Schizosaccharomyces pombe: one gene and its partner. The protein of the gene in region 2 interacts with the protein of the main gene of each other region in a biochemical or structural test. Each region holds a gene or a part of one and is shown on either strand. Other genes may lie near its edges.

What was found. The genes of interacting proteins can lie anywhere in the genome.
Region 1: the proteins of rpb3 (region 2) and rpb6 form a complex in vitro, tested with the Schizosaccharomyces pombe proteins (2 studies listed by BioGRID).

Annotation. Positions count from the first base shown.
Region 1 is NC_003421.2:781,252-784,634, reverse strand, and holds rpb6 (DNA-directed RNA polymerase subunit Rpb6), read right to left. Parts: upstream 1,599-3,383; 5' UTR 1,535-1,598; coding exon 1,260-1,534; intron 1,042-1,259; coding exon 888-1,041; 3' UTR 558-887; downstream 1-557. Other genes in the region: mmt1 (mitochondrial iron ion transporter), read left to right, coding at 1-385; Tf2-12 (retrotransposable element/transposon Tf2-type), read left to right, coding at 2,501-3,383. UniProt on the Schizosaccharomyces pombe protein: DNA-dependent RNA polymerases catalyze the transcription of DNA into RNA using the four ribonucleoside triphosphates as substrates.
Region 2 is NC_003421.2:1,782,372-1,788,601, forward strand, and holds rpb3 (DNA-directed RNA polymerase II complex subunit Rpb3), read right to left. Parts: upstream 4,628-6,230; 5' UTR 4,609-4,627; coding exon 4,529-4,608; exon of another isoform or gene 4,487-4,528; coding exon 4,437-4,486; exon of another isoform or gene 4,391-4,436; coding exon 3,627-4,390; 3' UTR 3,068-3,626; coding exon of another isoform or gene 1,604-3,067; 3' UTR 1,421-1,603; coding exon of another isoform or gene 1,415-1,420; 3' UTR 526-1,414; downstream 1-525. Other genes in the region: trp3 (anthranilate synthase component I), read left to right, coding at 1,415-1,420, 1,604-3,067; mrp49 (mitochondrial 54S ribosomal protein mL61), read left to right, coding at 4,919-5,058, 5,240-5,507; SPOM_SPCC1442.11C (uncharacterized protein), read right to left, coding at 5,631-6,179. UniProt on the Schizosaccharomyces pombe protein: DNA-dependent RNA polymerase catalyzes the transcription of DNA into RNA using the four ribonucleoside triphosphates as substrates. Component of RNA polymerase II which synthesizes mRNA precursors and many functional non-coding RNAs.

The DNA.
Region 1 (3,383 bases), 1.0 Mb from region 2:
AGTAAGTATTGTCGTTTTTAGTGCCGGCTTCAACTCTTCTAAAAAGGCCTTCTTGCAGCTTTTGGACCGAGCACCTTCCGAAGAGTTACGTATCGCAGTAACTGATGCTTTATTGAAGGGAGAAAAGCTTCCATATAAAATCGTTACTATATTAGGAAATGCACATGCCATGCATGTGATAATATCTGTTCCTCCATCCTTCACATCTCAACAGTCGTCCGAATTGGCACAAAAGGTAGAAAAGACTGTTTTGGATGCTATCCCTGCCCTTTCCAGTTGTATCGTGACACCACTTTCCTCTGACTCTAATCAGGTTCATAGATGGCAACACTTAAATGGGTCTTCTGGTGAACATTCGCATCCATCTCATGAGCACACTCATTAGATATTATACCTTGTAAATTTCGCAATCCATGCTTTGAAACTGATAGTAATAGAACATTTGAACATATCTGAATGATAGGTGTGTAGTAAGCAATTTTGAGTTTTCTGTGCTCTAGAATTTTTTTCAGATTAACAGTTGTACAAAAAACTCCGTGATCAATGAGTTTACATTTACACAGCTACTAAAACTATCGGAAAAAGTTATTATTAAATGCATTCATTGAAGAACGAGAGCTAAAATGCCCCAAAAAATTTTTTGACACAAGAAAAGAAGATTTCTAGAATAGTAGCACAAGCCTTTTTTTTCTCCCGAGGATAAATACGTCCCTATTTCTAAATCGTAAATTAATGGTATAGAGCTAAAAATTTAGTCCTTTTGCTTTTATTTTCTTTTCTTTACCATAGCCAAACGGCTTCGCTCACGTAAAACAAAAGAATTAGGAAAAGAACGAGGTGAATCGAACGAGCGATAGAACGTATTTGAAATTGGAACACTTCTTAAATTAAATGAGCTCCGCTACACTCCAGTCTTCATAACTGCCATCGGGTAAATATCGCCGGACTAGTAGAGGAATCTTTTTTTGTGCAAGCTCCTTCATGGCAATTTGCAAAGGATCAGTTTCACCTTCCAAATCAACTAAAACAGGTGCGTTCATACTAAAATAAAGAGTTAGAAATTAAAAGAAAGCTCAATTGAAAAGAAACAAAATTCATCATAATCAGACAATCCTAACTAGAAAATAAAAAAAAAATTTTTAACTATATCGTTTTTTTTTAAACTCCATGACTGCAAAACAGCATAACGATTCAGGACTTAAGCAATTACGCTAGTGCCTTTGTACGACGCTTTATTGTAAATCCACGCATCTACTCACCTAATTTGAAGTGCTCGAGTTCCCAAAATACGAGCGCGTTCATACTTTGTCATATAAGGAGTAGTGGTTCGGTCTTCCTTTGCTACCGCTTTACCAGATTGAGCTGTTTTTGAGCTAGCAACATCTTCAGTAATAACGGTAGTCGAAGGTTCACCAGGATGAGAGACGCCTTGCTGTGATTGCCCATTTTCATCGATCATCTCCAGTTCATCGACTTCCTCCTCCATAACAGCACCGTCCATTCCAAAGGCCTCATCCTCTTCATAGTCAGACATTTTGTATGCAATTGCCAAAGGAGAAAAGGGGGACAAGGGCGAATCTAAAAAATTGGAAGTTGACAGAGGAAATTCTCATACACCTAGTCAGCGTTCGAATTGTGAATCCGTGTTAAATCTCATTACTTTACACTACAATGCACTATTTACATCTTATATGTTTAATTCATAGAAAGATCGAACGCACGCTCCACTGAAACATTTCAGAGACTTTTTCTTTTATTATTCAAATTATTTTTTAAATCAATAATTTAATTTGATAAAATTGACTGATTGAGAGTCTATTTGTTACTATTACTTTATCATCTCTCTATAAGCATGTCTGTTACCTTTGCTACTTTGTAGAAATTAACTACTAGCTATTGTACCACGTCTCAGGTTAAACTTGTCGCATCCCAACGCATCGTTAATGAGTTCATCAAACGTGTAAACCCTCTTAAAAGGAACTTAATGTCAGCAATACTACACTACGCTATAATACACTACGTTGAGTATCACTATATGTCACATGTTCTAATTATATATCGTACCATGTATGATACGATATGGAGATTGATCTTAATGATAATCTATTAAGATCAATATTATCTGAATACTATAAATAGAGCTACTGCTGAACCTCGTTCCTCAGTTCAGTTATGAGCTATATTAGTGATAGGTAACATTATAACCCAGTTAATACAATACCTATACTCAGTTGCTACTTATACAACCTGTGTATCGTAATATAATAGATCACAAGGAAAACTCACCGCAGTTCTACGTATCCTTAAATCAGATACCAAACTGCGTAGCTTACAATAACTGAACTCTTGTGATCTACAATTAACTCCTTTTAGGAAAAAGGAATTATTGAATAAATATATATCATAAATATATATATTTCTCTCCTTCTGGGTTCAAAGGAGAAGGAACTTTGGAAGGACTGTTATCCCTTTTGAAATCTCCCAAAGGGAAACATATACAATGTCCTACGCAAATTATCGTTATATGAAAGCAAGAGCAAAACGATGGAGACCAGAGAATTTGGATGGAATTCAAACATCAGACGAACATTTAATAAACCTTTTTGCAAAAATATTATCGAAGCATGTACCAGAGATAGGGAAATTCGATCCAAATAAGGATGTTGAAAGTTACATTTCAAAACTTGATCAACACTTTACTGAATACCCTTCATTATTCCCAAATGAGCATACTAAAAGACAGTATACATTGAATCACCTAGAAGAATTAGAGCAACAATTCGCTGAACGCATGTTTTCTGAGAATGGAAGTCTTACATGGCAAGAATTACTCAGACAAACAGGGAAAGTACAAGGATCCAACAAAGGTGATCGTTTAACTAAAACATTTGAAGGTTTTAGAAATCAATTGGACAAAGTTCAATTTATAAGGAAACTCATGTCAAAAGCAAATGTTGATGATTTCCATACTCGCTTGTTTATATTATGGATGCTGCCATATTCCTTAAGGAAATTAAAGGAAAGAAATTACTGGAAATCAGAAATCAGTGAAATTTATGACTTTTTAGAGGACAAAAGAACAGCCTCGTATGGTAAAACTCACAAGCGTTTTCAACCGCAAAATAAAAATCTAGGAAAAGAGTCCCTTTCAAAGAAAAATAACACCACTAATAGCAGAAACCTGAGGAAGACAAATGTTTCGAGAATAGAATACTCATCTAACAAATTCCTAAATCATACTAGGAAACGTTACGAAATGGTATTACAAGCTGAACTTCCAGACTTCAAGTGCTCAATACCCTGTCTAATCGATACGGGCGCTCAAGCAAATATTATAACAGAAGAAACTGTTCGAGCACATAAACTGCCTACCAGACCCTGGT
Region 2 (6,230 bases):
GCTCAATTCCCCGAATCGGGATTTTGTACGACAATATCTTAACTTGAAATCATGAGGAATCAACACTGTAGAAGTAAAATAACTGTTTAATAACAGTGCGATCTTACCTTTATCCTATACTATTTTTCCTATTTTCTTTTTGCATCTGCGTTTATTGAGTGAAGTGAAAGAGGTATTTATTCTACTTAATAACATGAATTTGAACTGACAGAGATCCAATATATAACAAACAAGATTCCTATACTCGTTTAAAAAGGATTTGAATAAACTGTTTTTAGGATACTGTTCTATTTACTTATTTATTTTCAGGCAAAAAAATAGTGCCGCGTGAAAGACCCTCTTTTGCTTTTCCCGATTGAATACATTATACAATTAAAATCCTTTTTTGCTAAAAGATTGAATTTAACCAGCGATTGATTGTTTTTATACGTTCGAGAGTTTCATCTCCGTTTTTATTAACTTGCAAGATCATTCACAAGACGAAAAATCCTTGATCGAATAACATTACTTTTTGCTTATTAAGTTGAACTGTTCAGATTTATAGATGACTAGCCTTGACTGTTCAATTGCACTTAAACAAGCAATCACTTTAATTCACTTCGATCGTTTCGGTATAAGACGCACTTCAAATCCTAAGGGTAGTCGACTCTATTAAATTTATAAATTTGTTAGCATAAATATAACATTATTCTGAATTGCCCTAATAGCGAGTCATGTATTCTCTTATACCAATTCCAACGCCTAAATCCTCTTAGTTCTCTTTCGTTATAATCGTTGTTCCTCTTTTCAATTTCTGAATATTATAAGCGCATGATTCACGAAATTTCATAGATTTTGTAGAGGACTTTTACACAGTGTCTTCTCCTCTATTCAGGTCTGCAACTTTCTAGCTAACATACACACCCTTTTCATCTAAACGAATGCCTTTTATTTTTAACATTTTTAAATCAAACCAAGGAGACTAGATAAATAAAATAAAAAAAAAAGAAATCAAGATCTTAACTAGATTGCAGTTTATGTTCGACGAAACTTTGGCCATTTTAAGAATTTGCCTAAGAGCTTAGGAAAAAAATAAATCTTATCCTAAAACAAAATACTTTTATCGGTTTGTCCGCAGTTAAATATAACTTCCTAATTCCTATTTCCAGTCTTTTATTTACATTTAACCATATAACGTTTTCCAACGCATCCGTTATATTTTTCATCTAATTTAGATGAATTTTCCAACTTTCACAAGTTGTCTTCTTCCAGCAGCTTTACGTTGTTGAATTAATTGGTTCTTTTGTTTTCTTTCTTCGCTTACAGAAAAATTTGGAATTGCTTGTCTTTCTGGAAATAGATCGGTTCAAGTTTAAGGGATTTTTTTGGTTTGCTATTGAATTTGCACTTATTCGAGTATAGACTTGTCAATAAGATGAAGGTAATTTGATTTTTTTTGTTCTAACAAGGAGACCCAACCTATGGAAAATAAATAGTAGTATTGGGATATATTGACGAGTTTAGGATTGGGTCTTTCCTTTGTTGTATTGCTTTTAACTGTAAAAGTCGCCGTTTCTAGGGCTATGAAGCTTAAAATTAATACATGATACTAATACTATTTTAGATTTATCCTGACTTGAAACAAGTTCAAGAGCTTGCTGAAAAGCACAAGGCTAACAAGATTCCCATTTATGGAGTAATCCCTGCCGATATGCTGACTCCTTCAGTAGCCTACTTGAAGCTTAATCAAGGAAAGAAGTATTCGTTTATTTTAGAAAGTGTCACTCAAGGAGAGAGTGTCTCAAGATACAGTTTTATTGGCAGCCCTTATAGAATATTAATGGCCAATGGAAAAACAGATCCTTTGGCACGTTTAGAACGTGAGTTGAAAGAAGTTAAAACAGCCCCTGTTGAGGGTCTGCCATCTTTCAGTGGAGGTGCTGTGGGCTATGTTTCTTATGATTGCATCAAATATTTTGAACCCACTACTGAAATGCCTTTAGAAGATACCTTGGGTCTTCCGGAGGCTATGTTTTTCATGACCGACGATTTAGTCGCTTTCGATCATGCTTATCAGACTGTCAAGATAATTTCTCATGTTTGCATTCAGCAAGGCCGACCCATTGAAGAGGCTTACGAAGCTGCCGTTTTCAAAATCAATATGCTTAAAAAGAAACTTGAAAGTCCTGAAATTCCTTTGCCTGAGCAAAAGAAGGTCCATTTAGGATACGAAGCTAAGTCAAATGTAGGCGAAGACGGGTATAAAGCATTTGTTTCCAACCTCAAGGAACATATCTTTAATGGCGATATTTTCCAAGCTGTCCCAAGCCAACGGATTGCTAGGCGTACAGATTTACATCCTTTTAATTTGTACCGCCATTTAAGAACAGTTAACCCGTCCCCTTATATGTTCTACATCCACTGTGATGATTTCGACATAATCGGTGCTTCCCCTGAATTACTGGTTAAATCAGAGCATGGGCGTATTATCAATCATCCCATTGCCGGAACTGTTCCAAGAGGAAAAACTAAAGAAGAGGATGAGGCATATGCCAAGGATTTACTTGCTAGTGTCAAGGATAGAGCTGAACATGTAATGCTGGTGGACTTGGCAAGAAACGATGTCAGTCGTGTCTGTGATCTCGACACAACAAGTGTTGACAAGTTGATGACTATTGAAAAGTTTTCTCATGTTCAGCATCTTGTTTCTCAAGTTTCTGGTGTTCTGAGACCTGATAAAACTCGTTTTGATGCATTCCGTAGTATATTTCCGGCTGGAACGGTCAGTGGGTCTCCCAAAGTCCGTGCAATTCAGCTCGTTTATGGATTAGAGAAAGAAAAGCGTGGTATATACGCGGGAGCCGTAGGTCGTTGGGGCTATGAAGATGACAACATGGATACTTGTATAGCAATCCGTACAATGGTTTATAAAGACGGAACTGTTTATTTGCAAGCCGGTGGTGGTATTGTGTTTGATTCAGATGAACAAGATGAGTACGTGGAAACTTTAAACAAACTACGTTCAAATGTTACTGCAATTGAGGAAACCGAAAAATTATACGCTGAAGAAGAAAACTCTTCAGCATAAAAGTAAAGGAGACGCTTTCGGTTCTCGTTGTACATGTTATTTTAAAGTGTTGAGGTTTTTAAAAACTTTTTTGTTGTCTTTATTTTTGGTAAACGAATAAAACATCGTTATAAAAAATTGTATTCTGTAATCTCGTTGTCCACTTGTAGCAACTTTGTCTATTCATTGTGAGCATGGTGAGCCGATATAAACTTTCCAACAAAGAGTTCAAGAGGCAATCACCGAAAATTAAAAAGATATCAAAACGACAATTCCGAAAGTGTTCTCTTTCACGAAATTATCTAAAGCTATAATAAATCCAAGTGAAGAAGAACAAAATTATGATATGAGGGAGGAATATATATCTCTATATATGCATATCAATACGTACAATATGTTGTAGCCAAAAGCCAAAAAAAAAAGGATTAGATAAAAATGTGTAAGGTATGACATGAACGGACGCAGGCCATAAATTAAAAACTTTTAGATGATTAAAAAAACGCATCTAGAGTATTTTTTATAACAACAAACATATAAAGGATGAAAATGGATAATTTTTAGAAAAGAATTGAAGCATAGTCTACCACGTGTTTTCTTCACCATTTTGATAGGGAGACCAGTTCATTTCTGCATTCTCCTCCATATTCAGTTCGTTAGCAGAAAGTTGAGTAGGCTGCTCTTCGTCGAGATCACGAACTAAAACTGCAAGCTTTTCCTGAAGAATTCGTAAACCTTGAACCATTATTTCATTGGGTGGTATAGAACCGACACTTTCGACATCCATATAAAACCGACGCGGTTCCTCTTGGAAGTTGAATGGTTCGCCTTCCCGCGGTGGTTCTTCCCAATCGGCATTTTTGCTTTTTGGCCACTCTGCATCTGCATCATTCTCAAACCAGTAATCAGTATGCTGTAACTTGTTCCATGGATCGTATTCAAATGCAACAGCTGAAGTAGGTGACCACTTAGCATGTTCTTTAGCTATACCCTTCTTGGCAATGCAACGCAGAGAAATTTCCTGCTCTTTTCTGAGTTTGCAAATAAGCGGTCCGCGTGATTTTGGATCGGCGAGAATAGGGTGTCCAAGAGAAGAGTTAGAAGAAACAACAAGATCTCTAGCATAAATTTCCATCGTACCCTCACCAGTACATTTGGCATTTAGGAACAACTCGACTGAACACTTGGGACAATACTGATCGCAATCGCAATTGCGCGTATATTCCAAACCTACTGGAGGCGGTTCATCGATGTTGGAGCTATCCAGAGGTATCATACCAAGACGATGTGCTAGAAACTCATCAGGCATGACTGAGGTATTCACATTAATTTCAACTAGGTCAATGGCTAAAACATCATTAGTATTTAATTCAAGAATGAACCTAAATCTTACCCACTGTTGGAATCTCTGCAAGTACAACACGTCGCAGCGAGTTTGCAACTCTTTCAACTATTAGAAGGAATTTCCTAGAGCTTTTCACTTACGCCAAACTTGTATTTGTAAGGACAAAATCCACCGAGTTTTTACTTATATTTCGTATCGTAATATGCGTTTCTGAATCCATAATGAGAATGTGTCGTTTGGTCTATGCTTGTTGCAGAATTTCATACTCATTTCTCCCATTCCGCACTGTTAGGTGATCCCTTATTTAGCATAAGGACACACTAAACTACGTTAAATGCGAGATCAAGGAACTCGCTTTTAAAGAGAGCAAGCAACAATTGACAAGAGAGTACGAATCTACGGCATTAGGCTTAATTCATTAATATTTATATTCTCTGTTCATCCCGACAGAATATTTGAATAAAAACATATTGTTTCAAACTCTTTCATTTTTGTTTGGCTGATTATTACTACAACTTTACATTTTCGCCATGTCTAGCATAGGCGGTAAATTACAAAAATCTTTGCACAAGATTCGTGCTGGAGCTTTAGGGATTCCTTTACCAAAACATATTCAGGAAGTATCTATTCAATATTCTTTAGACAGCCGTTTGGGACATATGGGTGCTAAGTAAGTTTTGTTTATTCGTGTTAGAATCATCGATGTTGTCTATGTACTGGTACCTCAAACATTTTATGCTCAATTCATGTTTAATTCTCTCAAATAACTGCTTGATAATACTTTGTGTGAGGAAGCACTGATCTACGATTCCGTTTCATGCGTTGTTCATTGCTAACGTTTTAAATTCTAGAAAATTTGTAAAAGAATGTCTTCCTTCATTGTATTACAACAATTACGGCTTGAAGTTTAACGTTAATCACCGTTTACCGAACGATCAAACTCCAACATTTTCCATTATCTCAAACAACAAAGTAATCTATTCGTACGACATGCGGTCAAAACAGCTGGAAACAATTTCTTCCGATATTCAAAAAGCGCTTAAAGAACTTCATCACGAGTCATCCCCGGAAAACATTAAGGAAGCGCACAAACAAGATTATTCACCTCCTTCTAATTAAGCAAAAACGCTTTTAAAATTACTTTTTTTCAGTGAACAAAATATGCATCTTTTTTTTTTCTAAAAAACCTTTAGTTTTGCTGCAGTCCGTTTACTGTATTCCTTTGTTTGATGATCCATAAACCTACAATTCCCTATTTTCTTTTTTATTTAAAAAAGTTGTTTGAGTGAAAAAGAATGCTATCTTGAATACGAGCTTTAGTCTAAAAAATACATCGGCTTGCATTAAGATTTTTCTATCCTTGAACGAGAGCGTAAATGCCGTAAAATAAAAGAACAAAGAATGACCGAAATATTCTAACTTGGTATAAATCATATTTGTTGATTGAGTTCTTTGAAAAAGTTTTTGTACATGATTATGAGGGAATGAACTAATGATCGTTTGGTATGACAAAATAGCGTTTCTCCTCTTACTTGATCGTATTTTTCCTAAAGAAATAAAATTTCTGCCAACTTTGTTTATATCCATAATGCAAAATTCCTGCTGCAGTTTATTAGATATTGAGGTTTTTTTTCGGTCAGTGGAGGAAAGTGAACAAATTTGATTGTAGAGTTTAAAAATGGTTGAAATTGTGATCATATCAAATAGCCAACCATCTAAATTACGAAGTACAATATCTTTTTTACAATATCCTCTTACCAAACTCTTCGGGTTTCTGTTAACGATGAGCATGTACTTGTAAACGATTCAAAGTTTAACTGAACAGAAGATGTTATCTAACTT